4 linked regions of the Saccharomyces cerevisiae S288C genome follow. The gene in region 2 interacts genetically with the main gene of each other region. Each region holds a gene or a part of one and is shown on either strand. Other genes may lie near its edges. The genes, in order: SOK2, TYE7, ENO2 and TDH3.

Evidence for each region.
Region 1: mutations in TYE7 (region 2) and SOK2 together harm fitness more than expected from each alone (negative genetic interaction), as found in Saccharomyces cerevisiae (2 studies listed by BioGRID).
Region 3: mutations in TYE7 (region 2) and ENO2 together harm fitness more than expected from each alone (negative genetic interaction), as found in Saccharomyces cerevisiae (2 studies listed by BioGRID).
Region 4: mutations in TYE7 (region 2) and TDH3 together harm fitness more than expected from each alone (negative genetic interaction), as found in Saccharomyces cerevisiae (2 studies listed by BioGRID).

The regions. Positions count from the first base shown.
Region 1 is NC_001145.3:302,692-311,796, forward strand, and holds SOK2 (Sok2p), read right to left. Parts: upstream 2,903-9,105; coding exon 545-2,902; downstream 1-544. Other genes in the region: SPO20 (Spo20p), read left to right, coding at 4,798-5,991; PEX9 (Pex9p), read left to right, coding at 7,517-9,061. UniProt on the Saccharomyces cerevisiae protein: Plays a general regulatory role in the cyclic AMP-dependent protein kinase-stimulated (PKA) signal transduction pathway by regulating the expression of genes important in growth and development. May inhibit the switch from unicellular to filamentous growth.
Region 2 is NC_001147.6:975,158-982,533, forward strand, and holds TYE7 (Tye7p), read right to left. Parts: upstream 2,913-7,376; coding exon 2,037-2,912; downstream 1-2,036. Other genes in the region: REV1 (deoxycytidyl transferase), read left to right, coding at 6,671-7,376. UniProt on the Saccharomyces cerevisiae protein: Transcriptional activator of glycolytic gene expression, such as enolase genes (ENO1 and ENO2), glyceraldehyde-3-phosphate dehydrogenase gene (TDH), phosphoglycerate kinase (PGK1), phosphoglycerate mutase (PGM1), pyruvate kinase (PYK1) and triosephosphate isomerase (TPI1) genes.
Region 3 is NC_001140.6:449,618-457,620, forward strand, and holds ENO2 (phosphopyruvate hydratase ENO2), read left to right. Parts: upstream 1-1,709; coding exon 1,710-3,023; downstream 3,024-8,003. Other genes in the region: gamma-tubulin-complex subunit SPC97, read left to right, coding at 1-1,189; YHR173C (uncharacterized protein), read right to left, coding at 1,198-1,536; CTR2 (low-affinity Cu transporter), read left to right, coding at 3,255-3,824; YHR175W-A (uncharacterized protein), read left to right, coding at 3,941-4,090; FMO1 (N,N-dimethylaniline monooxygenase), read left to right, coding at 4,612-5,910; ROF1 (Rof1p), read left to right, coding at 6,974-8,003.
Region 4 is NC_001139.9:882,309-890,286, forward strand, and holds TDH3 (glyceraldehyde-3-phosphate dehydrogenase (phosphorylating) TDH3), read right to left. Parts: upstream 1,503-7,978; coding exon 504-1,502; downstream 1-503. Other genes in the region: PDX1 (Pdx1p), read right to left, coding at 2,201-3,433; XKS1 (xylulokinase), read right to left, coding at 3,765-5,567; exosome non-catalytic core subunit SKI6, read left to right, coding at 6,574-7,314; FYV8 (Fyv8p), read right to left, coding at 7,425-7,978. UniProt on the Saccharomyces cerevisiae protein: Glyceraldehyde-3-phosphate dehydrogenase (GAPDH) involved in glycolysis and gluconeogenesis. Catalyzes the reaction of glyceraldehyde-3-phosphate to 1,3 bis-phosphoglycerate.

The sequences.
Region 1 (9,105 bases), on a different chromosome or scaffold from region 2:
GACAATAAGGACGATCTTTTACAACCGATTCGATAAAAAATCTTTTCAAAACCGAAACATGAGCTCTCTTCAATAGCGATATAAACACCGGCAGCATATAGACGCAGGTTTGGGCTATGTTTTGTCAGCAGCGATAAAAGGTACGAGACTTCGCAGACTTAAACGAGGGAAACCTTCTCGAGAACTATGGTAACAAATATTACCCGCCCCGGAAATTGCGGAACAAATACACTGTCTCTTTACGAGTTTCTCGTTTAAAAAATCCAGGGGTGTGGGGTGTGGGCGCCCATATGCGCGAACGAGCAGCTGCTTGTGATGTTTTCCGGGGAACCTCCCACGTTCACAACCGCGCCGCGGAAATAACGAAGTTTTTACGTGTAAAGAGATTACGTCAAAGGAAAGAAGTGTTCAATGTGTCTATCTTATAGGCGTGATAGATGTCATTTATAACATGAGTCCACCTCATGCATAACGTATGTACATATATGTGGGCGGTAGGGTTTTGATTAAAGTAACATAATTATCCAAGGAATTCATAGTTGTTCTATTTTTCTTGTTTTTTTGTATCATCAGCAGCAATTTCTTCGTTGGAGACATCGCCAGCTCCATCAACTTGTGATTTGGATGACTCTGACTCCTTGACAGGTTCTGCTTCACTAGGTTCGTTCGGTTGTGTTGCTTCATCGCTTGTACTTGTTTTTATTTTGTCAGTATCCGTCGAAGTCAATGCGGAGATTGGTAATTGACTAGATCGTGGCTCCTTTAATGTTTGATTATCTGGTACAGTATTCCCACTGTCTGCTTCCTTAGACCATTTGGAATGTGATGCCGATTCAGATTCCACTCTTGGAAGGGTGATTCCTGTATGGATACTTCCCACATTTGATTCAGATGATTGATTTGTGTTTGTTGTAGTTGGAGAAGGTGTCAAAGGCTTTGAATCTGCAGGTGTAATGCCTAATGTACTTGCCGAATTCATTGTGGCGTTGCGTGGATACGATAAGGGTGAAGCTATGTTGCCCATCAGTTGTTGTTTCATCGGCATTGTTGCCGAAAGGGTCTGTAGGTTAGTTATAGTATGTCCTTCTAGTTGGTTAGAGTTAGGCATTGTGCATTTTTTCAAGGGCTTTTCACCCGCAGCGATTGTACTTACAGCTGGTATAGAATTATTGGGTATAATTTTGTTGTTCAAATTCATTGAGGAGTATGTCAGCTGAGCAGCAGATATATTTGAAGGACCATTAGGATTTTGATAGTTGTTAATAGGTTGATAATAGGTACGCGGACTGATGGATTTAATACCAGTGCTACTGCTACTACTACTGCTATCATTGCTTGGATTATTTTGTTTCAATACGCTCTGAATATCCCTGATGAACAAGGGATAAAGATAGTCAGCAATTTTTTCTCTTTGTGCTATTGCTAGGGCACGCTCAAACGGTATCCAGACACCCTTCAAATGCATGGAACCAATCTTCACCACATGCCTGATTTTTTCCGCTTTTAGAATACCATCTCTTCTACCTCTTGTCATCTTAGTTACATTCAGAAGTTTGGTACCATTAACCATATCATTATCTGCTCTTCTTACCACTGAAATACCGTTAGCTTCTACCTGATAACATAGCGTTTTTTCATCCTCCCACATTGTTGTTGTTACTCTTGGCCTTATTATACTTGCCGAAGTGCCGCTGGTGTTACTGCCTGTGGCATTGGTAGTGGCGATTAAGGGCATCGGGTGCCTTATGGTAGTTGTTTGGAAAGAATTCATGGTTTTAGCCATTGAGTCATACTGTTGATCTGACACTCCGTGCCTATTTGCAGTTAAATAAGTTTCTTGATCAGTAGAGGGTTTAACTGGTGGAGTTATAGAATTTCCATCATACAACGGGCTCACCTGTTGTTGTTGCTGAGGCGGTAGCAAACCCACTTGCGGAAGATTGTAGCTTAAAGGTCCATTTTGGCTGGTTGGACCTTGAGTTGGCGTTGTTAATGATCTTGGAGGAATTGGAGAATGCGAGTTTGGAATTGACGAAGTCTTGTGAAAACCGGGGTATTGGTAGGTGGAAGGTTGTGGATAGTTTGACATTGGAGGCTGCTGAGCTAAGGACGAGATACTATTACTATTGCGACTAGTGCGATTAGAATTGGGAGACATAGAGCCACTGGACGAATCAGAAGGTGGTCCAGATTTACTGAACTTTGAAAATGCATTACCTATCTTTGGTGGTTGGGCCGGATACGTTTGAGCTTGTAATTGTTGTTGCTGCTGGTGTTGTTGCTGTTGTTCAAAGGTTGAGTAGGTTTTTTCCAAATTGGGGTTTTGGACTTGATTACTGGTTACAGATGGTGTTGCACCGTTAGTGGTTCCATCGCCGTTTGCAGGATAATAATAATACGCTTGTGGATACGAATATGCCATTGATTGTTGGGCTTGCATTTGGGGAAAATAATAGTAGTATGGTACATTGTTACTGATATTAGTACTGTTATTGCTTTTTTTGGTGGTGATTGCAGAACCATTCGGTAACGCAGTTGCAGTAGCGTTGGAAGGAACACCTACAGACGTGGAAGGTGGATTGGAAGCATTTGAGTCAGAACCGCTACTCTGAAAGGATTCTTGAACTTGATACATCTGAGGCTGGGATTGCAGTTGCTGTTGAGACTGGGATTGCGGCTGCTGATAATATTGCGGGTACGGCCACTGTTCAGGAACTACGTATTGGTAGGATACGGGCATCAGAGGTTGAACGCTCTGGCCGAGATATTGTTGTTGTTGCTGCTGCTGTTGGGTGGACTGGCCAATAGTACTTTCGCTATTGCTCACGGCACTCATATTTGATTCCTGGCGCATGCGGTTGGACTTGATATCATTCGTATTGATTGGGTTACCGATGGGCATGACAAAAGGACCTTACCAGGGTTATATAAGGATGATTTTGTACTGTGCTTAACAAATCCACTTTCAATTTCTGAAAACAAAGATCAAAAAGGTTTTTTTTTTTTATACAATTGTGAAGTATGTTTAATGAAAACAGCACAAAATGATATCTCTCTGCTTGCAATATAAAAAGCTATGGAAAAGGATTATCAACTATACTAGAAGGCTTACACACGCACAGGCACACACAACTAATGCAAAAGATAGTGGGGAAAAACTTCAAAAACTAACAAAAAGAAGTGTTAAAGATGAACTTTTTTCTTTTGTATCGTCGGCTTGCCACATTCGATAAGTTAATAAAACACAAACGGGCAACACATCTACGTACTTTTTATGTGAAGACAAGAGAAAGAATACATCACTGATACGTGCGTCTATTGCGCAGCACTGTACTATTGCGAAGAACTGAGTGAAGGCAAAGAATGAGATGATCGATGCTTAGCCGACTGTTAAACTTACTGAGCGGTAGCCTCTACTAGTTCCTTAGTCAGATCGCACTCAACTTGGAATGTTCCGTCAGGCCCACGGAAGAAAAAGCAACAAAAGAAAGAAAAACCGGACAACATGCGGGAAAAATGCAAACTGTGTGAGGGAAAAATTAACTTTAAAGATTACATCAACGGCGGGAAAAGATCCTTCCGCAGTCCTTCTACTGCGGTTTCCCTGCAGGCACAGCTAACCGGAGGGAAGACAAGTCAAGCGGACATGCAGTTCCCGCTCAGGCTTCTTTGCAGAGAAATCGGAATATGAATTTTTTGTGTTTTTTGTTAACTTCTTTACCATTCGCATCACGGGAAGAGTGTGTTGGCATAAGAGGCGCAAGAAAAAGGTGACCCACGGTGGTGGGAAAGAGAAGAAAAAGCCGTTTGCGGAAAGCAATGTTTTGCCCATTCAGAAACAATATCTTTGCTGTATCCCTACATGTATTATGCCGCGTTGCTTGTGCAGGTACGGAGTCCCTGCACGATTTTTCAACAAGGTCTAGATTTGCTAAGACGATGAGGCGGAGCCCGAAACAAACAAGCCAAAAACCGGAATTTCGCGCTTGGTGTGCTTTCGCATCTTTTCGTGTGGTGAATGCACCTGGTGCACGCTGCGAAGGTGACGTAGCAATCCAAAAAAGGGAAGTCTAGGCGCTTTCAACCGCCCCCCACCGTGCATGCGGATTGGTTGTCACAATTCGCAGACATATTGGCAATGTTTCCTCCCCTCCTGTTGATGCGGGTAAGGGGTGTCTGTTATGCAGGAACAGGAAGGTAAAAATTAAATGGGCCTTAATTCTGTAGACACTCTCTTGGGGTAATAAGGTTAAAAGCCATTGTTGAAGTACGGAATCATCTCTTCATTTTTTCAGCGCTTGTAAGGAATTAATCCCCAGGAAGGTGCCGATGTAATGAGAGAAGTATTCTTGTTGTATCTCTTTGGTTCGGAGTATTTCCTTCTTTCTTTTCTTTGTAGTTTTTATGCAAATGCAGGGAACAGAGTACCCGGTTAAGGCTGTTAGTCAGCCGCACTCTACACAAAATTACTTGGCAAACACGTTGGTTGGGAAAAGCTTTATACTTGGCGGTGTAGTAATTGTAAAGGATCAAGATTGTGTCATGCTAATGTGCCGCTGTGTAACAACCTTTTTGAAGCGCGTATTTACCACCGGCAAAAGGCCATTGTGTCACATAAAAAAAAACTCCCGCCAAAGCCAGGTTCATTTTGCATAAGATTCACCACAGTACGGAAAATACGATAAGTTAACCAGTAATTTGCTCGCTTTAGCTACTGATAAACCTTCTCTGTTAACACTATTATTTTTTTATTACTTTAGATTTTTCCGTTTGTGAATAGCCATTTTTAGATATATAATGGGGTTCAGAAAAATACTTGCTAGCAAATCGCATCACAGTCGCCACCATAATCAGCACCATAAGAACCTGAAGTTGCAAAATCATCGCTATGTACTTATTTCCAATATTACAGGATCCCATGAAACAAAATATTTATCACCCTTCAGGATGGACAATTGTTCAGGAAGCAGAAGACGTGATAGGCTACATGTGAAGCTTAAATCCTTGAGGAATAAAATCCACAAACAACTTCACCCAAACTGTCGGTTCGATGACGCCACTAAGACTAGTGATGATAAATGCGTCTCTTATGAGGTGCCCGAAAGGGATGGCCTTGCTACTATTTCGTTAGAAGAGGTTTTTCCAAAGTCCAACAGGTGCCAAATACCTGAAGAAAACTTGGGAGAAACAGATAGCGTTATTCACAGAGATTTGGGAAATTTTGCAAATGAGAATGACTATCCACAGTGGAGAAAAGTTGAAAGTCAATATAACTTAGAGAATGTCCAGCCTGAGGAGGATGAAATAGTTGATAGACTCAGGTCCGAGATTAGAAGCACTAAATTAAAATCTGTAAAAACGACAAGCAGAACACTTGAAAAAGCTATAGAGGCTCGATGTACTGGAAAGAGAGTTCTTCAACAACTAAGTTGTCAGAGCAACCAACTCACCAAGATCGAGAGCAATTGTGACATGCTTAAAATTCAATCTAACGTAGCCGACCGAAAGATTGACGAACTTGCCCATGAAAATAGAAGCCTGCTTGCATTAAAATCACCCAACCCCTTCAGGAAGAAAAGGGAGAGAGAAAAGCGAGACCAGATCTACAATTTGAAGTTAAAGCATCGTCACTTACAGCAAGAAACTATGAAAAGAGCCCAAGATTCTGACAAAAATTTAGCCATAAATCTAAGTTCTGAATATGGACGGTATGGCCAAGGGGTGGAAAGACAGCGTATTCTTAGAGATGCCCAGAAGTATCAGTTTGAAGCCGATGAAGAAGATAACCAAATGGAAATCGACTTGTACGGAAACCTAGAACAAATAAAAGCGGTGAGTGGTGACTTGAAAATTATGGCTCACGCTTTTGGCAGAGAGTTTGAAGCACAAAACACTAGAATGTTTGACATCGAGAACAATGTACAGCAGGCAGATAATGCTTTACAGGCCAAGCGATATAGATTGGAGAAAGTGATCGGGAAAAGATGGTGATCTGTTATACACACAAAATATCGTGTATAAATATATTGAATAAATAGTTTCTAAAAAGGCATACGCAGATATTCTTGCGAAAGAGAAAAAAAAAAGAGCGAGGGGGACATTAGTACTGAAGGTCTCAATTCTTCTTTGTATTTTCTTTCGGAGTTGTCAGACAAAGCTTTCTCTTTCCCATAAATAAAGTGCATTCAAACATCGGCAGGTTTGTTTTTCCCAGTTGTTACGTATTTGTTTCCCGTTCCATTCATGATCTTAAACTGGGTTAACTGAAAAATCAACATGATTTTGTGAAAAGTAAAAGAGGGTAAGAAAGATAGATACCGCTGTCGTGGGACTATATTTTTTACAGTACCAAGTCTACTTGCTTCTCATAAAGTTGATAAGTTATAATTCATATAATTTCATTTGTCAAAAAAGATTTTAGTTACAAAACGATATCAAAGTTCAATCTTGTTGGGAAAAAGGAAAACATTATGAAGGGTTTCCGGTAATCACTGCGTATGCCACACTATTCCTATAGAATTGTCTTGATTGGGTGCTTATGCTGCGGAAAAATTATATTCTGCGCTTGCCTTTTATATTAAGCGTCACAACGCCCTTACCAAGATCGAGCGGATTAAGACAAGAGTGTATCTCAAGCGTCCGTATATGTTTAAGTTGAAAAGGATATTTAGTAAGAATAATTCTACCCTACAAACGATATTAGTAAAAAAAAAAATCAATAATAGAGTTATTGTACAAACATGTTCTGAAAATTGGAAGCATCACATCGTATGCTACTAGAGAAAATTTTTACTATCCTTTTTTCCACAAGCCCAGCCCTAGCCCGATCATCCTATTAATTGTCAGACCACCGAATGCTATCCCGCCACGGTTGATATAACGAAACTCTTTACTGCTTTGGGTCAAATATGCCTCTTTTCCGCATTTTTTCGGAGTAGTTCATTGCCGCATACATACCGCAACTTGGACGAGGATGTCCTCCTTCTCTTACTTTTTTATTCGTTTCCAATTTGTTTCTCGTACCGTTCAAGTTTCAAGCCTACAAGAAATGTACACGACATGGATGCGTCAGCCTGATTCAGATATGACAAGATTGTTCCTGCGCATATGTGAATATGAGCGCACGCAATACATTGAGATCTTATTTGGGTTTGTAAGTGCAAACTTAATTTACTTTGCTTCCTGCCGGTTTTGATGTGCACCTGGGAACTTAAATAGCCGCCAAAAGAAAAGCAATCAGAGCGGCGCGGCGCAGACAAAACCCGAAGAGTTTCCTGGGAACGGTAGAGGCCTTGGTAGTACCTTACTAACGCCGGAGAGGATGATTGATACGCATTGAAATCGTACAGAAAACTTGGGGCAAAGCGCTCTTACCCCAATATTCTCACCCAAACAGTGGCAATAAATAAAGAAAAGGTCATCACTTTTTTTCGTACTCTTATCCGTTTTATTTTATTTTATTCTTTTTTTTTGAGTGGAGAATCATTAAGAATAAAGGGTACCTTTTGTAAGCACGATGAACGAAGTTACTTGTTCCATAACTGGTGACAACCCAATTCATAAGATCAACAATGGATTAGGCTTGAAATGGAATAATCTGGGTAAATTCTCTGATTTTCAGACTAACGATAGCGCCGCGCGAGATGCTAGAACAATAGATTACATCTTTACCAATTGTCAAACCGGCAGCAGTATTGGTAAGATAGATTTTCGGGCCGCACTACCGGCAGATAAATCTCAACATAGTGGTGTCAGCGAAAAAGAATTTTCAAGACTTGAGAACCAGTGGTCAAAGGAATTCTCTTGTTTCCCCAAGAATAAAAATGCTGATGTGACCAAGCCCAGTAGAAACAAACATGAGAAACGCTCCGCTAATTTGCACAATAGGTACTTTGCACAATATTATAGTACGGCATATCAGCAAAATCGTATATATCCTTGTCGAATATCTTACAATGAACACTCATCTGTTTCTAATGGCTGGGAATTTCAGTTCAAATCAATCGAAAATCAGTTACTAAATGAGCTAAAGATAGAAAACAATGTAGAAGAAAAAACTGTTGGTTATGAATATGTGGCAGAATACGAAGAAACAATTGATTTCATGCATATGCTGTCATCCGTACCACAAACATATCAATTCCTAAAATCAAACATCTACATAACGGAACGGGACCCATATAAAATAGGATGTGTACTAATGGACAACGGTTCCAATTTGAACGAAGTAGTAATGGCCTTTGAAGCAGCCATTTCACAAGATCCAAGCCATATAAATGCATGGTTGAAGTTAGGTATAGTTAATTTTGAAAATGAAAGCGAAAGCAATGGAGAGCTTGCTTTGCGAAATTGCTTAAATTTGGATCCAAATAATACAATTGCATTGGAAAACTTAGCAATTCACCATATAAATCAACAAAATGAATCAGAGTCATTGAAACTTTTTCACAAATGGATTCTTTCAAAATTTTCGAAGGTTTTCCAACCTTCTGCGGGGGAAAACAAAGATAGCATTAATAAAATTCCGAAAAAGGCCCATTTGGCGCATATTCTAGAATCCCTGTTGAATATGGGTATAGAAAAAAAAGATCAGTATGATATATATTCAGTATTATCAATCTTATATTATTCGGATCAGAAAATAAAGCAATCTCAGAAATGCTTAGAGTTTTTACTACTGGAAAAGCCCAATAATGGAACAATATGGAATAGATATGGTGCTATTTTGGCCAATACTAAGTCGTATCACTCTGCGATAAATGCGTACAATAAATGCAAACAACTAAGACCGAATTTTACAAGGGTTCGTTATAATTTAGCGATCGCCTACATGAATAAGGGTGACTATGTAAAAGCAAGCAAAATGCTAATCGAAGTTATACTGTTACGAAGTAAAGGATATGAACACAACAAAGCAAAAATGCAAAACAAATTTATGCAAAATTTAAAAAATGCTCTCATCGCTTCAAAAAATTTTGATTCACTTGATCTAATAAATGGTTCTCATAATACAGAATCGTTAATATCAACCTTAAAAGCTATTTATAACAAAATGGATTAGGTTTTAGTTAATTTTTTTGCTATATAGTGCATTCAAAATAAAAA
Region 2 (7,376 bases):
AACCAGGTCATTATATAGACCAGGATGAACTAGAAATAGATGAAGATGAATACAAAGAGAAAGTGCATGAAATGCAAAAGTTGATTGGTCTAGCTTCATATGTTGGATATAAATTTAGATTTGACTTACTATACTACATCAACACACTTGCTCAACATATACTATTCCCCTCTAGGCAAGTTTTAGACATGACATATGAGTTAATACAATTCATGTGGGACACTAGAGATAAACAATTAATATGGCACAAAAACAAACCTACCAAGCCAGATAATAAACTAGTCGCAATAAGCGATGCTTCATATGGTAACCAACCATATTACAAGTCACAAATTGGTAACATTTTCCTACTCAACGGAAAAGTGATTGGAGGAAAGTCGACAAAGGCTTCGTTAACATGCACTTCAACTACAGAAGCAGAAATACACGCAGTCAGTGAAGCTATACCGCTATTGAATAACCTCAGTCACCTTGTGCAAGAACTTAACAAGAAACCAATTATTAAAGGCTTACTTACTGATAGTAGATCAACGATCAGTATAATTAAGTCTACAAATGAAGAGAAATTTAGAAACAGATTTTTTGGCACAAAGGCAATGAGACTTAGAGATGAAGTATCAGGTAATAATTTATACGTATACTACATCGAGACCAAGAAGAACATTGCTGATGTGATGACAAAACCTCTTCCGATAAAAACATTTAAACTATTAACAAACAAATGGATTCATTAGATCTATTACATTATGGGTGGTATGTTGGAATAAAAATCAACTATCATCTACTAACTAGTATTTACGTTACTAGTATATTATCATATACGGTGTTAGAAGATGACGCAAATGATGAGAAATAGTCATCTAAATTAGTGGAAGCTGAAACGCAAGGATTGATAATGTAATAGGATCAATGAATATTAACATATAAAACGATGATAATAATATTTATAGAATTGTGTAGAATTGCAGATTCCCTTTTATGGATTCCTAAATCCTCGAGGAGAACTTCTAGTATATCTACATACCTAATATTATAGCCTTAATCACAATGGAATCCCAACAATTACATCAAAATCCACATTCTCCACACAGTCATACTCGTAAGAATTGGTTGAATTTGAGATAATTGTTGGGATTCCATTGCTGATAGCTTTAATATTATGTATAAGGAATATACTAGAAATTCCGAAAACTGCTTATATCAAGACTTCAAGGAATCTGGTATTACTCGAGCCCGTAATACAACACGTTTGATATTTTGTGCGCTTCAGTAGCTCAGTAGGAAGAGCGTCAGTCTCATAATCTGAAGGTCGAGAGTTCGAACCTCCCCTGGAGCAATATTTTTTTGCTAATATGACAGCCCAATATCTCGCTTCGAACAAATTGTCGTCAATCAGAGGGGGGAATACAAAAAGCCCAAAAAACTTCTTTAAGAATATAATGCTGTAAATATATGTTTCGTACTTAGTTTAGTTATGGCGTGACATAATAACGGGTTGTGAATGTAATGAATAGAAAAGGCCGTAATAAGATAATAAAATAAAATAAATGAGAAAAGTTTGAGAAGAGTTCGTTCGTATAAATCATTAAGGTGTATGTGTTTGTTGAAATAAAAAAAATTGATTTTTTTTTATTTTTTCGGTTTTGGCATACATATCCGTCCGTAGCTGAAACGGAATTTCGTCATGTCTTGTGCTTTCTTGGCTATGAACCACGCGTCATTAATGTGTATAAAGGAGGAATAAAATTAGAATTTTTTTTGAATAATACGAAATAGAAAAGAAAAAGGTATGAAAAGTGCGCATCACGATTTATCATCCTTCTTTAGTGGGGATTTTTTTTTTTTATCTTTTTGTATGTTTTTTCCAACTTCTTTTTTTTTTTTGTATTCTTGTCTGCTATGTTATGGCCTTGTTATTTTTTGGGCTTGTTTTTTAAAGTACTTCGCTAAGAAAGAAAAAAATGTCGCATAAACAAAAGAGGAGAAAGGAATTTCTATCGTAATTTTATAATATTGGTGTTTAAGCAAGCGTGCTTTTATTTTTGGTCTTGTTTCAAAGTGTCGATTTCACTTTTCAACCTTTGAACTTCCATTTCGTATAGTCGTTCGTTATTTTGTAGATATAGAATATAGTCAACAGCTTTTTCTAGGATCATGCTTTTATTTAGCTTCGTGCTTGTAGCAGCGGCAGATGGAAGAGGAGTAGTAGCGGCAGTTTCTGCGCCGTCTTCGTCCTGTTTTTTTACAGAATCACCTACTTCGAAAGCTGTTTGTTCACTTGCTACCCATGGGATAATCTGCTGCAGTCTTGCAATCTTTGTGTTGATGTTTATTCTGTAGCGTTTTTCAATCTTGTTGTGAGCTTGCTTTTGGAAGGGGGTCAGTCTTTTTCTTGGAGCCCTCTTTTTCGTTTCCTTAGCATCTAGATTTGTTTTTATAAACGAGTCGTTTAGCTCGATTTCATTCTTAAGTGGGGTACTATCGTCATTATTATCAGTATTTATCATGTTAGGCATTAATTGCAAAGAAGCCGGTTCAAAATCTGCCAACGAAAGGGCATTGTCATCCTCTTCTCTTTTTATCGAGCTGCTAACCTCGGGAGAATGCGAGTATGAGGAAGGATTACTGAAAAACTGATCTGTTGGAAAAAGAGCAGATTCCTCGTTGTTGGAAGATATAAACTGGTCTTCGATTGGAGAGCCTATCGAGGAGCTGGATGCAGAGGAGATAATGTTTTCCAATGGTTCGAACCATGTGGAAGAAGATGCAGAAAGAACTGACGAGGAGTCCTTGTTGACGTTGATATGACTAGCTCCGTCATTTTCATCCGACAACCAATTATCAAATTCAGATTCAGGTTTAATTAAAGTAGTTTCGCTAGATCTAACATTTCTGTCTAAAATAGAGTTCATAATTGTTAAACTTGAAGAGATTTGATAGTGTGTTATTTGTCTTTATTTTTATTTTTGCACTAAAAGTTTATGAAGTGAACAAAAAAAAAAAATAATAGTAAAGTAGAGAGACTTTAGATCGGTACTGCTTGTGGTGCTTTACGCTTAATAAGAAAGAAAATGAGAAAAGAGAGAAATATGTAAAGAATAAAGGTTGATGGTTGGGAAATATAAAATAAGGATGTAATTAAGATAGCTTTACTTTCCCATGAATTGATATATGAAGTGAAAAAGGATGTAAATAAGTTTAAATTTTGGAGATAACAAAAGAAGTTTATATAAGTACATTTGATTGTTGAGGTGAGAAAAAAAAAGGAAACAGAGGTGAAAAAAATTAATAGCAAACGTTGCGTTTTGCATTTCTACTAAGAATGGAAATGTCGCAGACACGGTATCATCTACACTGTGAAAAAGAAATGAAAATGAGAATTGTTATTTGGCGAACTGTGAACGTGCGCAGGGCAGAATCCCATTGTACGGTTCGTACGTGGGCACAATGAATTACTACTAGGGTAAGAAATGACCGCAGCAGCATGAACATTCTAGAACAAAATTTGATTCCTTACCGAATGGAGAGAGGCCACGTTGTTAGGGGAGTAACAGCGCAATGAAGTGAGCTCAATCCCACTCCAGAAGGGCTTGTGTACGGCCGGAACTGGGCTAAGCAGTATCCGCGGGTGAAAGTCAAGGTCAGCTTGTTCCGGTTTCAAAAGGAAGATTTTCCGGGATACCTCTGGGTGTAACATTCAGATGCGTGCGTCATTTATTCTCTACCCATGTGGTGCCTGCCAGATCCGGTAAGTACCGCCCAGCATAGCGTATACACAAGGATGAATGGGTTCTACGACACCGCGGTTTAAGGAAGTTGCCGCATTTGGCATGGTGTGGTGATGTCTCTTTTCCTAAACCAGACTGAGACAGGTTTATTTCACCGATTTTTTTTTGCTTTGGCATAATAGAATGTCCAAGAAGGGTATTTTACTATCTTACACGTGTTTGTAACATAAACGACAATTTTGTAGCACAACTAGGGCATGTCAGTCTGAGTCGTATTAGCGCCCTCCCCCTTACTTCAACAGTATCGTAGGATTGGCATTGCATATACGCCGATTTTAGCGTTGTTAATTGATCATTGCTGGCTTGCCACGTGATGGCAATAGGCTTTCTCTCGTGCTCGACCCCTAATGTCAGTTCAAGCAGGGAACGTGCCAAACATGGCTAGTGCATTTTTTACGTAAGCCGCAAAGAGGTTCCTCTTTTCTTAGTGTTTCGCCCTACTGATAAGAATGTGAAAAAGTAAACGATAAGATTAATATAATTAAAAAATGTTTCAATTCTAGACATCGTACCCACAAAGGCTGCCCATATCATATCGTAATACAGATCCGCTTTTCAGATTACATCCGATTTTCAGACTGAAAAGCAGCATAGCGGCAGTATGATGAATACAAGCGCGCTTATCTGTCGCTCTTCTTACTTGGAAAGGGAATCATATTACCCGGCAGGGCGCTGACGGGAGCCGCATTAAATAAGCATACGAAAATCATCAAGGTTATCGGCATTTAATTTTTTAGAGGCTTCTTTATATCCCATAGTTAGATTATTCAATCAAAAGGTTGTAAATGCCTATTAAGTTGCCTCTTGTCATGGTCCCATATTCCCTGAGGCATTCCTGCCAAGAATAATGGATTTCTTTCATGCATAATTATTGAGTATTTGAATCATCTACATCGCACCCAAAGAAATTTGATATCGTATAATTCAGCATATTATTATATACTGTGTAAAAAGATGACATGGGAATTAAGAAACAATCATCAGATTTAGTGGATGCCGCAATACAAGGACTGATAATGTAAAGAAATAAAAGAGAACGCGACACAAAATGCAAGGAAAAATAATAAATGTTACGTAGAAATATCGGTTTCCTTTCCTTGATTTCTATATCTTAGTAATGAACTTCAAGAATATGCTTATTTTACCCAATTATAGCTTTAATCATCAATAGGATCTTAAAAATTATTCTAATATCCACCGAATTTTCGAAAAGTATACTAATTTAAACATTTGGTGTAAGCGTTTAGGTTGCTAACGTAGCAGCAAACGTTGGTATCAATCACCACTTATTGCGCTACATTTCAACAATGTTCTTGAGAAATGGGTGAATGTTGAGATAATTGTTGGGATTCCATTGTTGATAAAGGCTATAATATTAGGTATACAGAATATACTAGAAGTTCTCCTCGAGGGTCTAGGAATCCCCATAATGGAATCTATATTTCTATATACCAATATTACGATTATTCCTCATTCCGTTTTATATGTTTCATTATCCTATTACATTATCAATCCTTGCACTTCAGCTTCCTCTAACTTCGATGACAGCTTCTCATAACTTGTGTCATCATCTTAACACCGTATATGATAATATATTGATAGTATAACTATTAGTTGATAGACGATAGTGGATTTTTATTCCAACAGTTCTCTTCAACCATTCGTTTTTGGGACTGAGGAAAATGAATATAAAATTATAATACTTCATCTTGAACTTTGAGAAATCACAAATTGTATGGGCGTGTGGTCTAGTGGAATGATTCTCGCTTTGGGCGATCCCCCTGATCAAACAGGAGGAACAAAGCATGCGAGAGGCCCTGGGTTCAATTCCCAGCTCGCCCCTTTTTTTGCAACTTCGTTTTAGACAGTTACTTAATTTTGTTTCTTAGGCACAACAATATTTATAAAAGAAGAATGTAAGTATGACGACGAAAACGAAAAGACTAATAGTTTCATATAATACTAAACGATTTCAATTTTCGTTTTATATCCTTCCTATTCATAAATTTTATTTCGCTATGCCAATAATGAGTGGATGTATAGTTGATATCTGTTTCGATAATTTTAAAGTAGATAGTAAAATCTTACTGACATGAATAATCCGTCCAAAACTAGATTACTGTATACAAGCATATTTAAAAAAATAATGAAACTATGATCAAAAAACTGTGCTACTACAGCGGTGTTGTTATCCGATACAACCGGATATTTTTCTTTTAATGAGTCTAAACCGTGATAGCTTCAGGTTAATACAATCAAAAAAAGCTCAAATATTCTTTTAATGCCGCGTTCACAGATTCCAATTGAATACAACTAGGTAGTTCATTATATGAAGCCTTTGCTACTATTTTTCACTATAGTCTGCCTTCACCTTAATGCAGACATCCACATATTTTAATCACTTTAAAATAAAAAGGAAGATATATTAGAAGCTATGATCCAATCTGTAAGCCAGATTAAAATTCACGAACTCTTCTTTCATTTGAATTGAATGCTTTGAGTTGGGGTAGATTATCGCAAATTACTCATCACATTTATTGACTACGAACTTGCTGATGTCCTTTTTTTATTTATATTTTTCTTCAGTGAAGCGATTTTTTTTTTACACAGACCAAGACGGAAAAAAGTAGCTAAGGAAGAAAACAAAATCATGAAAAAAATGTGAAGTGATCATGCACATCGCATCAACTTAAACATTGGCTTAGAGATATATAGAGTTAGAGTTTACGGCAACCTTTAAGCACCAATACCTTTTGGCATAGTCTAAAGACCTGGTTCTTAATTTTAAACAAATTTAACTAAAGATTTCCCTATCAAAGAAGTAACGAGTTGACAGATTTTCTCAAAATAAATCGATACTGCATTTCTAGGCATATCCAGCGATGGGTGAACATGGTGGTCTTGTAGATTTATTGGACAGCGATTTGGAATACTCTATAAATAGGGAAACACCTGATAAAAACAATTGCCTTAGCCAGCAAAGTGTCAATGATTCACATTTAACAGCAAAGACCGGCGGCTTGAATGCAAGGTCTTTTCTATCTACGTTAAGCGATGATTCCTTAATTGAATATGTCAACCAACTCTCCCAAACTAATAAGAATAATTCTAATCCAACTGCAGGTACTTTAAGATTTACTACTAAAAATATTAGCTGTGATGAATTACATGCTGATCTTGGCGGTGGCGAAGATTCACCTATAGCTCGTAGCGTCATCGAGATCCAGGAAAGTGATAGCAATGGTGATGATGTTAAAAAAAATACTGTGTATACTAGGGAGGCTTATTTCCACGAGAAGGCGCACGGACAAACCCTGCAAGATCAAATATTAAAAGATCAATATAAAGATCAAATTTCTAGTCAAAGCAGTAAAATATTCAAAAATTGCGTCATCTATATAAATGGCTACACCAAACCTGGAAGACTGCAATTACACGAGATGATAGTTTTACATGGCGGAAAATTTTTACACTATTTGTCTTCAAAGAAAACGGTTACTCACATAGTGGCTTCCAATTTACCATTAAAGAAAAGGATTGAATTTGCAAATTACAAAGTAGTCAGTCCGGATTGGATAGTTGATAGCG
Region 3 (8,003 bases), on a different chromosome or scaffold from region 2:
GTATCAATCTGGTCATAATGTTTTAAAGTTTCTAACAAAAAATATGGGTGAGTTGACCAAACACTACAGGAATGATAATAATGCAAACTATGACAAGCTGCTACAAAATTTTGAGTTAGAGAGACAATCCGAAAATCCAAACAACCTGATGAGGCAACTCCTGATGATACAGTTCGATACAGAAACACTTCCACAAGTCTTATCGCACTACCTCCAAATTTATCCAGAAGTACCTGAGAATAACTCAGCAAATGACGACAGCGACCCATTGATGCACGCGAATAATTTCAAGAATATGAATGCCATTCTTTTTGATGAATTAAGCAAAGAACGAACGGGAGCCTACCATGGATCCAATCTAGAACTATATACTCCAAAAAGCGCAATTTATCATTTAAAATTTGACATCAACATACCTTATCCATTGAATATTATTATTAGTAGGACATGCATGATAAAATACCAAATAATCCTGCGCTACCAACTAGTTTTACAATACCACTCAAGGCTTTTGGATGAGACTTGGATGGACTTAAACAAAACACCCAGCTGGAAATACAGAGGCTATTCGCACACTGTGAAGAGGAGGATAGTAAGGGCAACGAGAGTGCTGCATGCTAAGATGAACCACTTCATTAAAACCATCATGGAATATTTCAACCAAAACGTAATTGATAAAGAGGTATACTCATTAGAAAAGTGCTACAGAAATCCTACTCTTGCCGTTGCCATCCAAAATGAGCTAGAAGGTGGATTAACAAATATAATGACAAATCGTTGCTTGTCTGACTTGATTCCACTACAGTTACAAATATTTGACATTGTATATAAGTTTTGCAAGTTCATCAAATCTATGAGAGCAAAATTATGTCAACTGGACCCCGTACTATATGAGAAACACAAAAGCGGGATGATGAAAACACTAAACGAAGGCTATCGTACAAACAATGGCGGTCAGGAAGATGTTGGTTACCAAGAAGATGCCGCCCTGGAATTAATTCAGAAGCTGATTGAATACATTAGCAACGCGTCCAGCATTTTTCGGAAGTGTCTCATAAACTTTACTCAAGAGTTAAGTACTGAAAAATTCGACTTTTATGATAGTTCAAGTGTCGACGCTGCGGGTATAGAAAGGGTTCTTTACTCTATAGTACCTCCTCGCTCAGCATCTGCTTCTTCCCAAAGATGAACGCGGCGTTATGTCACTAACGACGTGCACCAACTTGCGGAAAGTGGAATCCCGTTCCAAAACTGGCATCCACTAATTGATACATCTACACACCGCACGCCTTTTTTCTGAAGCCCACTTTCGTGGACTTTGCCATATGCAAAATTCATGAAGTGTGATACCAAGTCAGCATACACCTCACTAGGGTAGTTTCTTTGGTTGTATTGATCATTTGGTTCATCGTGGTTCATTAATTTTTTTTCTCCATTGCTTTCTGGCTTTGATCTTACTATCATTTGGATTTTTGTCGAAGGTTGTAGAATTGTATGTGACAAGTGGCACCAAGCATATATAAAAAAAAAAAGCATTATCTTCCTACCAGAGTTGATTGTTAAAAACGTATTTATAGCAAACGCAATTGTAATTAATTCTTATTTTGTATCTTTTCTTCCCTTGTCTCAATCTTTTATTTTTATTTTATTTTTCTTTTCTTAGTTTCTTTCATAACACCAAGCAACTAATACTATAACATACAATAATAATGGCTGTCTCTAAAGTTTACGCTAGATCCGTCTACGACTCCCGTGGTAACCCAACCGTCGAAGTCGAATTAACCACCGAAAAGGGTGTTTTCAGATCCATTGTTCCATCTGGTGCCTCCACCGGTGTCCACGAAGCTTTGGAAATGAGAGATGAAGACAAATCCAAGTGGATGGGTAAGGGTGTTATGAACGCTGTCAACAACGTCAACAACGTCATTGCTGCTGCTTTCGTCAAGGCCAACCTAGATGTTAAGGACCAAAAGGCCGTCGATGACTTCTTGTTGTCTTTGGATGGTACCGCCAACAAGTCCAAGTTGGGTGCTAACGCTATCTTGGGTGTCTCCATGGCCGCTGCTAGAGCCGCTGCTGCTGAAAAGAACGTCCCATTGTACCAACATTTGGCTGACTTGTCTAAGTCCAAGACCTCTCCATACGTTTTGCCAGTTCCATTCTTGAACGTTTTGAACGGTGGTTCCCACGCTGGTGGTGCTTTGGCTTTGCAAGAATTCATGATTGCTCCAACTGGTGCTAAGACCTTCGCTGAAGCCATGAGAATTGGTTCCGAAGTTTACCACAACTTGAAGTCTTTGACCAAGAAGAGATACGGTGCTTCTGCCGGTAACGTCGGTGACGAAGGTGGTGTTGCTCCAAACATTCAAACCGCTGAAGAAGCTTTGGACTTGATTGTTGACGCTATCAAGGCTGCTGGTCACGACGGTAAGGTCAAGATCGGTTTGGACTGTGCTTCCTCTGAATTCTTCAAGGACGGTAAGTACGACTTGGACTTCAAGAACCCAGAATCTGACAAATCCAAGTGGTTGACTGGTGTCGAATTAGCTGACATGTACCACTCCTTGATGAAGAGATACCCAATTGTCTCCATCGAAGATCCATTTGCTGAAGATGACTGGGAAGCTTGGTCTCACTTCTTCAAGACCGCTGGTATCCAAATTGTTGCTGATGACTTGACTGTCACCAACCCAGCTAGAATTGCTACCGCCATCGAAAAGAAGGCTGCTGACGCTTTGTTGTTGAAGGTTAACCAAATCGGTACCTTGTCTGAATCCATCAAGGCTGCTCAAGACTCTTTCGCTGCCAACTGGGGTGTTATGGTTTCCCACAGATCTGGTGAAACTGAAGACACTTTCATTGCTGACTTGGTTGTCGGTTTGAGAACTGGTCAAATCAAGACTGGTGCTCCAGCTAGATCCGAAAGATTGGCTAAGTTGAACCAATTGTTGAGAATCGAAGAAGAATTGGGTGACAAGGCTGTCTACGCCGGTGAAAACTTCCACCACGGTGACAAGTTGTAAAGTGCTTTTAACTAAGAATTATTAGTCTTTTCTGCTTATTTTTTCATCATAGTTTAGAACACTTTATATTAACGAATAGTTTATGAATCTATTTAGGTTTAAAAATTGATACAGTTTTATAAGTTACTTTTTCAAAGACTCGTGCTGTCTATTGCATAATGCACTGGAAGGGGAAAAAAAAGGTGCACACGCGTGGCTTTTTCTTGAATTTGCAGTTTGAAAAATAACTACATGGATGATAAGAAAACATGGAGTACAGTCACTTTGAGAACCTTCAATCAGCTGGTAACGTCTTCGTTAATTGGATACTCAAAAAAGATGGATAGCATGAATCACAAGATGGAAGGAAATGCGGGCCACGACCACAGTGATATGCATATGGGAGATGGAGATGATACCTGTTCGATGAATATGCTATTTTCGTGGTCATACAAGAATACGTGTGTCGTCTTTGAATGGTGGCATATCAAGACCCTGCCTGGACTGATTTTAAGTTGTTTAGCAATTTTTGGTCTAGCCTACCTCTATGAGTACTTAAAGTACTGTGTCCATAAGAGACAATTATCCCAGAGAGTATTGTTACCAAATAGATCTCTGACCAAGATCAACCAAGCCGACAAAGTGTCCAATAGTATTCTATATGGTTTGCAAGTGGGATTCTCATTCATGCTCATGCTTGTATTCATGACTTATAATGGTTGGTTAATGTTAGCTGTCGTGTGTGGGGCAATATGGGGTAATTACAGCTGGTGTACTTCGTATAGTCCTGAGATAGATGACAGCTCCCTCGCCTGCCATTAAGATGGTGACAAATATTACAAATTTGATACTATTTGTATCTATTTTGTTTTTATCCGGGATTTTTCGTATTTCTTCCTCATTCATACCCTTCCCTTTATTTGTTCCCACTGAGTATAATGATAAACTACGTTAACATTACATGTATAATATTTAGCACTCGTACGTTACTAGTCTTTGACACAAGTTTATATATCCCCCCCTTTATGTTATCGTTTATTGGCTACAGCCTCAGTAATCAAAATAGTCCACTATTTCTATATCATTAACTTCTGCGTCGCCAAGATGTTAATCATGAAACGATCTAGTTCTTCAACAGTTTGCCAGCGACCATTCGAGCTAATCTTGAACAAAAGTAATACTATTTAAGGGTGGGCGCGGGTTGTTATACCGTTTTGAGACGATCTACTATAACGTTATATTTAATTATATAAGTGATGAATTTAATGTCCCGTCCACAACACGAAATCGCACCTCATTTCAACGCGGCAAGTATTAATGTTCTGCTTTATGAAAGATTCCATGAACCCTTTTCTACCTTTTAAATTCCTCTTTTCACTCTTAATCACATGATATTACCTTTACATAGGAAGCGCCAGACATCTTTTTGCCGAGAAAAGCCATTATGCAAGATAATCCTGTAGCCTCATATCAAGGATAAATGCCACTGCAAAAACGCAGTCGTTATTTGGGACTGTATTTAAATGGGCCACTGTTTTTATACAAGTCGAAAATACAATAATACAGAAAATTCAAGCAGGAAGCGAGAAATAACAAGAAGTAACTAGGCATGACAGTGAATGACAAAAAAAGATTGGCAATCATAGGTGGGGGGCCAGGAGGGTTGGCAGCTGCAAGAGTTTTCTCGCAAAGTCTTCCAAATTTTGAAATAGAAATATTTGTAAAGGATTACGATATTGGCGGTGTCTGGCATTATCCAGAACAAAAAAGTGATGGGAGGGTCATGTATGACCATTTGGAAACCAATATATCAAAGAAGTTAATGCAGTTTAGCGGCTTTCCCTTCGAGGAAAACGTCCCTTTATATCCGTCTCGAAGAAACATTTGGGAATACTTGAAAGCCTATTACAAAACGTTCATTGCCAACAAAGATGCTATCAGCATCCATTTCAGCACCGAAGTTACCTACTTAAAGAAGAAGAACTCTCAATGGGAGATAACATCTAAAGACGAACTAAGGACTACTAAATCGGATTTTGACTTCGTTATTGTTGCGTCTGGTCACTACAGTGTCCCTAAACTACCAACTAATATCGCAGGTCTCGATCTATGGTTCGACAATAAGGGCGCCTTTCATTCTAAGGATTTCAAAAACTGCGAGTTTGCCCGTGAAAAAGTCGTTATTGTGGTGGGAAACGGCAGTTCCGGCCAAGATATTGCCAACCAACTAACTACCGTTGCAAAGAAAGTATATAATAGTATAAAAGAGCCTGCGAGCAATCAACTGAAGGCCAAGTTAATCGAGACTGTCCAAACAATAGACAGTGCCGATTGGAAAAATCGTTCAGTTACTTTATCTGATGGAAGAGTACTTCAGAATATAGACTACATTATTTTCGCCACAGGCTATTATTACAGCTTTCCATTTATAGAGCCCTCCGTTAGACTGGAAGTGCTAGGTGAGGGTGTTACTGGCGACAAGCACTCGTCTGTCAATCTGCACAATTTGTGGGAGCACATGATCTATGTAAAAGATCCTACGCTGTCCTTTATCTTGACCCCGCAGTTGGTCATCCCGTTCCCGTTGTCGGAACTACAGGCGGCTATTATGGTCGAAGTATTCTGTAAAAGCTTACCGATAACTACAACTTTCGACTCTAATGCCTGCGGAACGCACAACTTCCCAAAGGGAAAGGACCTGGAATACTATGCAGAACTACAGGAACTACTGAATAGCATTCCACGTAGGGTCGGTCATTTCGAACCAGTTGTATGGGATGATAGACTGATCGATCTAAGAAACAGTAGTTATACAGACAAAGAAGAAAGAAATGTGCTTCTAGCGGAACACGCACAAGCCCTAAAGAAAAAAAAAGCACCATACTTCCTTCCGGCGCCACATACTTAACGTAAAAAGGAATGTACTTGTATAGAAAAAACACATATTGTGCCGCTTAATATTTCGTTTCCCTCATGTATATACCTTATCGCTGTTAAAATAAGAAATCTTCACTTCTGCTATCTTTTTTTTTCAAACATTGATTAATAATCCGGCCGTCCGCAGATTGCTTACGCAGAATATACCGTACCGCCACCGTAAAATTAACGAATACTTAAATTTCCGCCTCTTCCGTTTCGGCAATAGCGAACCTTAATGTAAGTTTTTAAAAGGCAGCGCCAAAAATTGCTCTGAAAGGCCTGCAGTGCTTCGCGGCTACGCAGTTCCCATGTAAAAAAAAAAGAAAACTTTCTTTTTGAATCTGGAAAATCCGCACAGGCGCGCCAGCATAAACCTCAGTATCCTGCAAAGGCCATCCTTTTAAAGATCTTAACAACGTATGAATCTGAGGCAGAGAGAAATTAAGCGATAAACGTTCCTTTTAGACTTTCACTTTCTTGGCCGTCATTTAAAAAAAAATTATCTAATAATCTCTAATTTTAAGTTGAAATCACGCTAACATATGACTATGACTATTAACCTTTTTATGTGGAAAAAAAAGGAAGAATATGTTGTAAACGTATTTTAGCCTTGTTCCCGGAACTTTAATCACTCTGGCAACTTTTTAAGTAGTCTGTCTTTTTCTCGGTCGTATATTCCTCAAAATTCAAGAGGAAAGAGGAAGTGAAGAAGAAAGCCTAGAAAAAAAAAATAGGCATTAACACAAAAACGCACCTAAGGGACTGAGGAAAATCAAAAAAATGATAATTGCAGTTAGTAAATCTTCATAATCGACGCCCACTTATTCTTTCTTTATAGTACCGGGTAGGCGGGTAATTCATACGTAGCTGCTGCGGGAGAACTACTATGTATCATTCCCTGTTTATTTGTATGAATTATTATTTAATACGTACATTCTTGTAAGCCCTTCTTCAACAAAACAAACAAATAAAGCGAGAAAAAAGGGAACCACGAATTAAGATAATTAATCAAACAATAGATAGGAAAAGGAGATCGACGAGTAAGCGTAAGAATGATGGATATCAGCCCTACCTGTTATGGGTACATCGACGACGAGCAAGATCTAGCCCTTGTTTTCCAGGGCGTATTCAATGGAAATTTGAGATGCATCGAACGGAGGCCATATGATGCAGAAAAGGTTGAATTAGTCAACCCCGGAAACATTTTTGTTTTCAACGAAGAGAAATCCGGCATCAAAAGATGGACAGATGGTTTTTCTTGGTCTCCTTCAAGAATTTCAGGCAAATTTCTCGTATATAGAGAGTATAATAGGCTGGGTTCCACGCACGATCTACCGCTGCATAATGTACCTGAGTATAATATCTTCGAGAGGGCTCATAGGAAGTATTTTTATACTGGACTACTGAAAAAAACATTTTCTCTAAAATTCAATATGGATCCCACCGACAGCACTAAGCTGGAAACATTTCATCTTATTGCGTACTATACGGAAAAGGATATTCATCAAGGAAGTTTGAGGAGACCTTCAGAAAATCCTTTCTTCCATAAATTTCGACCTTCACAGAAACTATTAGATGCTTTACAAAAAGTTGCTGTAGGAAATGGCAGATCTAACCCGTCTAAAAATAATGAGAGAGGCAGAACCAAAGCTCATAATTATAAAACGCGCAGGTCTTTATCATCTTCTCCGAGCTATTGTGATCTCTTGAGCAATTATAACAACCATCCTGGAAATATTCCAGTTAGGACCGCAGTTCAGTTACCTTTAACCACCTTCAATAACGCTCCTCGAGAAATGCACCAACAGCAGCACCGACAACAGCAACAATATCTCTTACCCATAGATGAACAGAATAAATTACCTCTCCCGTATATGCAGCACCAGCCACAACCAATTGGTGTTTACAATCCTAACTATCAGCCTGGATTGAGACGTACGGTCTCACAACCTATGATTTTCTGCAATACATACAATACTCTCCCGCAACAACCTACTGCAGCACCTTATGAACGGCGTGGCGTGTCGCCTTCAGTGATATACTCCTCCAATACATTGAGCCCAATACCATACCAAAATATCG
Region 4 (7,978 bases), on a different chromosome or scaffold from region 2:
GCGGGAATCTGTGTATATTACTGCATCTAGATATATGTTATCTTATCTTGGCGCGTACATTTAATTTTCAACGTATTCTATAAGAAATTGCGGGAGTTTTTTTCATGTAGATGATACTGACTGCACGCAAATATAGGCATGATTTATAGGCATGATTTGATGGCTGTACCGATAGGAACGCTAAGAGTAACTTCAGAATCGTTATCCTGGCGGAAAAAATTCATTTGTAAACTTTAAAAAAAAAAGCCAATATCCCCAAAATTATTAAGAGCGCCTCCATTATTAACTAAAATTTCACTCAGCATCCACAATGTATCAGGTATCTACTACAGATATTACATGTGGCGAAAAAGACAAGAACAATGCAATAGCGCATCAAGAAAAAACACAAAGCTTTCAATCAATGAATCGAAAATGTCATTAAAATAGTATATAAATTGAAACTAAGTCATAAAGCTATAAAAAGAAAATTTATTTAAATGCAAGATTTAAAGTAAATTCACTTAAGCCTTGGCAACGTGTTCAACCAAGTCGACAACTCTGGTAGAGTAACCGTATTCGTTGTCGTACCAGGAGACCAACTTGACGAACTTTGGAGACAATTGGATACCAGCGGAAGCATCGAAGATGGAAGAGTGAGAGTCACCCAAGAAGTCAGAGGAGACAACAGCGTCTTCGGTGTAACCCAAAACACCCTTCAACTTACCTTCAGCGGCAGCCTTAACAACCTTCTTGATTTCATCGTAGGTGGTTTCCTTGTTCAACTTGACAGTCAAGTCAACAACGGAGACATCGACGGTTGGGACTCTGAAAGCCATACCGGTCAACTTACCTTGCAATTCTGGCAAGACCTTACCGACAGCCTTAGCAGCACCGGTGGAGGATGGGATGATGTTACCGGAAGCGGTTCTACCACCTCTCCAGTCCTTGTGGGATGGACCGTCAACAGTCTTTTGAGTAGCAGTCAAAGAGTGGACAGTGGTCATCAAACCTTCTTCAATACCGAAAGCATCGTTGATAACCTTGGCCAATGGAGCCAAACAGTTGGTGGTACAAGAAGCGTTGGAAACAATCTTCAAGTCAGAAGTGTATTTTTCTTCGTTAACACCCATGACGAACATTGGGGCGGTGGAAGATGGAGCAGTGATAACAACCTTCTTGGCACCAGCGTCAATGTGCTTTTGAGCAGTGTCTAATTCCTTGAAAACACCAGTGGAGTCAATGGCGATGTCAACGTTGGAAGAACCCCATGGCAAGTTAGCTGGGTCTCTTTCTTGGTAAGTAGCAATCTTCTTACCATCGACAATGATGTGCTTGTCATCGTGGGAAACTTCACCAGCGTATCTACCGTGAGTGGAGTCGTACTTGAACATGTAAGCAGCGTAGTCGTTGGTGATGAATGGGTCGTTCAAAGCAACAACTTCGACGTTTGGTCTAGACAAAGCAATTCTCATGACCAATCTACCGATTCTACCGAAACCGTTAATAGCAACTCTAACCATTTTGTTTGTTTATGTGTGTTTATTCGAAACTAAGTTCTTGGTGTTTTAAAACTAAAAAAAAGACTAACTATAAAAGTAGAATTTAAGAAGTTTAAGAAATAGATTTACAGAATTACAATCAATACCTACCGTCTTTATATACTTATTAGTCAAGTAGGGGAATAATTTCAGGGAACTGGTTTCAACCTTTTTTTTCAGCTTTTTCCAAATCAGAGAGAGCAGAAGGTAATAGAAGGTGTAAGAAAATGAGATAGATACATGCGTGGGTCAATTGCCTTGTGTCATCATTTACTCCAGGCAGGTTGCATCACTCCATTGAGGTTGTGCCCGTTTTTTGCCTGTTTGTGCCCCTGTTCTCTGTAGTTGCGCTAAGAGAATGGACCTATGAACTGATGGTTGGTGAAGAAAACAATATTTTGGTGCTGGGATTCTTTTTTTTTCTGGATGCCAGCTTAAAAAGCGGGCTCCATTATATTTAGTGGATGCCAGGAATAAACTGTTCACCCAGACACCTACGATGTTATATATTCTGTGTAACCCGCCCCCTATTTTGGGCATGTACGGGTTACAGCAGAATTAAAAGGCTAATTTTTTGACTAAATAAAGTTAGGAAAATCACTACTATTAATTATTTACGTATTCTTTGAAATGGCAGTATTGATAATGATAAACTCGAACTGAAAAAGCGTGTTTTTTATTCAAAATGATTCTAACTCCCTTACGTAATCAAGGAATCTTTTTGCCTTGGCCTCCGCGTCATTAAACTTCTTGTTGTTGACGCTAACATTCAACGCTAGTATATATTCGTTTTTTTCAGGTAAGTTCTTTTCAACGGGTCTTACTGATGAGGCAGTCGCGTCTGAACCTGTTAAGAGGTCAAATATGTCTTCTTGACCGTACGTGTCTTGCATGTTATTAGCTTTGGGAATTTGCATCAAGTCATAGGAAAATTTAAATCTTGGCTCTCTTGGGCTCAAGGTGACAAGGTCCTCGAAAATAGGGTCAAAGTATTTCGAATTTGTGTCCATTAGTGGTGTTCCGTGTGAGAACTGGTAAGCTTCTTTCATGAAAGAGTTCAATGATTCACTCAGTTTGTCAAACGGAATAGAGGCGGGAGCATGGAACACTAATTGCTCTTCAAATTCTACAGGAGTAATCTTTGGCTTGTCGGCAGCTTTTGTTTGAGCTTGCTCGGCTATTTTTGGTTTGAGCTGTATAGGTTTAATGTTCGATAAATCGAGACGTTCGTTCTTCTTGATAAATTCTGTTACCTTGTTAACCGAATCTTGTGGTATTTTCCCTAGGTATGCTAGCACATCACCCTTTAATAGTCTACCGTTGGAACCAGATGGCGCAATTTCCTTCAAAGCCTTTTGTTTGGATATATTGTTCTCAGCCAGTAGTAATGACACGGATGGTAATAGCGTCTGTTCAAGATTGGCTTGGCTGCCGTCAACGGTTTTTATTGGTGTAACTGTGGCTTTTTTTAAATGTTGTTGTGTTGCTTCAGTACTATCTGCGGATGGCTTCTTAATTTCAATAGATTTCGCATTTGCGGTGTTGGCCTCTTGGGGTAACTTTATAGTAGCTAAATCATCATCAACATCAGCAATATAAGCAATAGGTTCACCAACATCAACATCTTTAGAGCCTTCATCTTTCAGGATCTTAGCTAGTTTACCATCGTCCAGTGCTTCCACATCAATTTGAGATTTATCTGTTTCCACTTCTAATATCACATCGCCCGCGCTGAATGGTTCGCCAACTTTATATTTCCAAGACACAATCCCCCCTTTCTCCATAGTAGGAGACATTGCAGGCATTGAAAATGTCTTTACAGCAAGTAATTTAGCTGATGCATGATAGTTGCATTTGGTTAAATATCTTGTACATGATTTTAAAGTGGAGACTTTGGAAATTGCACTTAGCATTTTTGAATTTTTCCCTCGAGATGATTTAACAATAACCTAGCTCTTTCAATGCTCTCTTATATTCTCACTGGAAAGCGCTAATTTGATTTGTCTCTCTCGTTGCTGGTCGCTCACCCTTTCATAAATTGTTTTTTACTCTTCATTTATTGATTTTACTTTTTGTCATTTTCCGAACGGGGAACAAAATGATGACTACTTGCTACAGTATACGAAACATACAAGGGCATTGTCATGTGCACGCATAATAACGGTGATATATATATATGTATGTATATTATGTGTCTGTGTTTGTGTGTACTTGTCAGGGCATGATAAATTATTCAAACATATTTTAGATGAGAGTCTTTTCCAGTTCGCTTAAGGGGACAATCTTGGAATTATAGCGATCCCAATTTTCATTATCCACATCGGATATGCTTTCCATTACATGCCATGGAAAATTGTCATTCAGAAATTTATCAAAAGGAACTGCAATTTTATTAGAGTCATATAACAATGACCACATGGCCTTATAACAACCACCAAGGGCACATGAGTTTGGTGTTTCTAGCCTAAAATTACCCTTTGTAGCACCAATGACTTGAGCAAACTTCTTCACAATAGCATCGTTTTTAGAAGCCCCACCTACAAAAAAAGTCCTTTCTGGCCTTTTATTTAGGTAGTCCCGCAGCGGAGATTCATCGTAATCAAACTTCACGATTGTATCTTCGTTCAGTCTCTGTTGTGAGCTTGCGTTTGAATCCGAAAGCAGGGGAGATATTCTTACCCTGCAACTTAAAGCCTGTGATTCTACAATATTTTTGGCATCGTGCCTCTTGTCTTTGAACTTGGCCACCTCTCTTTCAATCATACCCGTTTTTGGATTGAAGATAACCCTTTTGTTTATGGCTTTTACGCTAGGAACGATCTCCCCCAGAGGAAAATATACACCTAATTCATTTTCACTACTTTCTGAGTCATCTAGCACAGCTTGATTAAAAAGAGTCCAATCGTTAGTCTTCTCATAATTATTTTCCCGTTCTTTGTTTAACTCGTCTCTTATCCTCTCCCTTGCCAAAGAACCATTACAATAACAAATCATACCCATATAATGGTTTGGCAGAGTTGGATGAATGAAAAGATGATAGTTCGGAGAGGGGTGATACTTATCGGTGACCAGAAGAACTGTAGTACTTGTTCCTAGGGAAACGAGAACGTCATTCTTCCGCAGGGGTAAAGAACATATAGTGGCTAAATTATCCCCAGTCATGGGAGAGACCTTGCAGTTTGTATTGAAACCGTACTTCTCAATAAAATATTTACAGATGGTACCCGCTATCAAATTTTTCATGGGTGCTCTCATTAATTTTTGTCTGATAGTTTTATCCTTAGAAGAACTATCAATTAGATGTAGTAGCTCATCACTGAATTTTCTTTCACGTATATCATAAAGGTTCATACCACAGGCATCTGCCTCCTCTAATTCAACAAGATGGCCCACTAAGATAGAAGTCAAAAAATTAGACACTAAAGAAATGGTCTTTGTTTTTTCGTAAGCTTCTGGTTCTAATTGTGCAATTTTCAGAATTTGAGGACCAGTAAATCTAAAATGGGCTCTGGACCCTGTTAATTGAGCCATTTTTTCAGGCCCACCTATGCACTCTTCAAACTCTTGACATTGCTTTGCAGTACTGTGGTCTTGCCAATTGGGGGCGGTTTGCCTTGCAAATGCTACAGAGCTCACGTAGTGCAATAAATCTTTTTCCGGTTTCTTATTCAATTGCTCTAACAGAGATTCGGCTTGGGAGGACCAGTAGACAGACCCGTGCTGCTGGCAGGACCCTGAGACGGCCATAACTTTGTTCAATGGAAATTTAGCCTCGCGATATTTCGAGAGAACCAGATCTAGAGCCTCTAACCACATGGCTACGGGACATTCGATAGTGTCGCCGTGTATATAGACACCCTTCTTTGTGTGATAATGCGGAAGATCCTTTTCAAATTCCACTGTTTCTGAATGGACAATTTTTAGGTCCTGGTTAATGGCGAGACATTTCAGTTGTTGGGTCGAAAGATCAAACCCAAGATAGTATGAGTCTAAAGACATTGTGTTGGAAACCTCTCTTGTCTGTCTCTGAATTACTGAACACAACATTAAAGTACTAATCTCATCCTCCTTTTGTTTTTCTCGAGAGGGCCCCCTTATTCGTCCGCCTGAGATTGCATTGGCCGAATTGAAAAGTGACAGTTATGCACCTCAGCGGCTATTCCCTGCGTCGCTTGCTGAAGATTGAGGATTATAGGAAGTAGTAAGCTGGAAATGGTAATTTGTAAAAAGAAAATTTCTAATACTGTGACAATGTTATTAAATCGGGGTTGTTTTTGTTTGGGGCGGCCAGCGGAATAATTTGTTTTCAAGGACAGCAGAAGCTCAGAAGAACAAAATCTCCGTGATCTTTTAAACTTTTTTCCATTCTGATGGAATAATGGTCTTGATCCCCTAAATATTTCCTTTTTTATTGCAATTATGATAGAAATTAATAGTAGTCTATGCTGGATGATATATATATCTCTTTTGAGCTTGCTTCAAATTTTTTCCCGTTATAATGATGAGTGTTTTGCTTATTAAGGGTCTAGGACATTTCTATCAGTTTCTATACCAAAAGAAGAAAAAGTGGAGAATTGTTTGTTTATTTTAATATTTTGTTCTTTAGTTTTAAAAATTCAGAAGAGAAAAAAATTTTATTTGTCACAAGGAAATAAAACATAAACAAAAAAGAAAAATTAAGATTTGCAATTCTGCCGCTTAAGCAAAAGTAGATCATTCACTGGAATATATATATATAAACGCATTTATAATCTTGTAACGTGCACTCAATTTAGCTACGAAAGCCAACCAGCAAGGAACCTTTTATTTGAGTAGGTACATTTACATCTTCGGGTAACGCGGTGAAATTGAAAAATTTTAAGGCATTAATAATTGAAAAGCTAGAAGAAATGGATGAATGAATGACATTGCGAACCATTGTGCAATGAACATCATCCAAAAGAAAACATCATTTACACATATTTTCTTTCCAGGGTCCCACTGGTAAAATCTATTAACATATAAAAAGATTTACAAAAAAACTTTAGTGCCATAACTACAGCAGGATCATCATATGTCAAGACTAGAAATATACTCGCCAGAAGGGCTACGTCTCGATGGACGTCGATGGAATGAACTCCGCCGTTTTGAAAGTTCCATCAACACACATCCGCACGCTGCAGACGGTTCATCCTACATGGAACAAGGTAACAACAAAATTATCACTCTTGTTAAAGGTCCAAAAGAGCCAAGATTGAAATCTCAAATGGATACCTCAAAGGCTTTATTGAACGTATCGGTAAACATTACAAAATTCTCCAAATTCGAAAGAAGTAAATCAAGCCACAAGAATGAAAGGCGTGTTCTTGAGATACAAACCTCCCTGGTGAGGATGTTTGAGAAGAATGTCATGCTGAATATCTACCCCAGAACAGTTATCGATATCGAGATCCATGTCCTTGAGCAAGATGGCGGTATTATGGGATCTTTAATCAACGGTATTACCCTCGCTTTAATAGATGCCGGTATATCAATGTTCGATTACATAAGTGGTATATCCGTCGGGCTGTACGATACTACCCCATTATTAGATACCAATTCATTAGAAGAAAATGCTATGAGTACAGTGACACTAGGTGTGGTAGGGAAGTCAGAAAAACTTTCTCTTTTATTGGTGGAAGACAAAATTCCGTTAGATAGGTTAGAGAACGTTCTTGCCATCGGCATCGCAGGTGCTCATAGGGTAAGAGATTTGATGGATGAAGAACTGAGGAAACATGCTCAGAAAAGAGTCAGTAACGCCTCTGCTAGGTAGAATAAAAAACGCCATTAATTGCCACTGTTTATATAAAAGTACATAAAAAACAGTAAAATTGAAAATTGAACGCATTTACATTTTCGTGTTTCTACCGTAAAGCAAAACGCTTACAGTTTTTTCTTACCTATTGATGCGAATAAATCCTTTGGTTTCATAGAATGCTGGAAAACTTTTCTCCTTAAGTGCGTTACATTTTGGTTGACACTAGCAACCGTGTTAATGACAGTATGCTTCTTACTCAAATCGTCCGCGTTCGCATATGCTTCCCTAACGTGACTATGCTGCTTATACTCCTCAGCTATGAAATCCTTATCCTTATTAGAGGATGATTTTAGCGTATAATTTATCCATGTTTGTATCCCCGTATCATATTCATCTAGCTCACGCTTATAATTTCTCAACTGTTCTATCTTACCGGCGTGCGAAGTCTTACTGTTCAGTAGTTTATTCATATCTAATTTCGGTAAGTTATTCTGCTGCCCCAATTTCGCCATTTCTTCAGTACTGGGTTCATGGACGCTTGTCATTTCGCCTTGAGATACTGTTCTGTTTTCACTTTTGAAAGATGCACTGCGCGCTGCCAAATCATTGGCAGTATTGTTACTATTATCATTATCTGTTGTACTATTATCGTTTCCTGCATTTAATTGTTCCTGTGCGT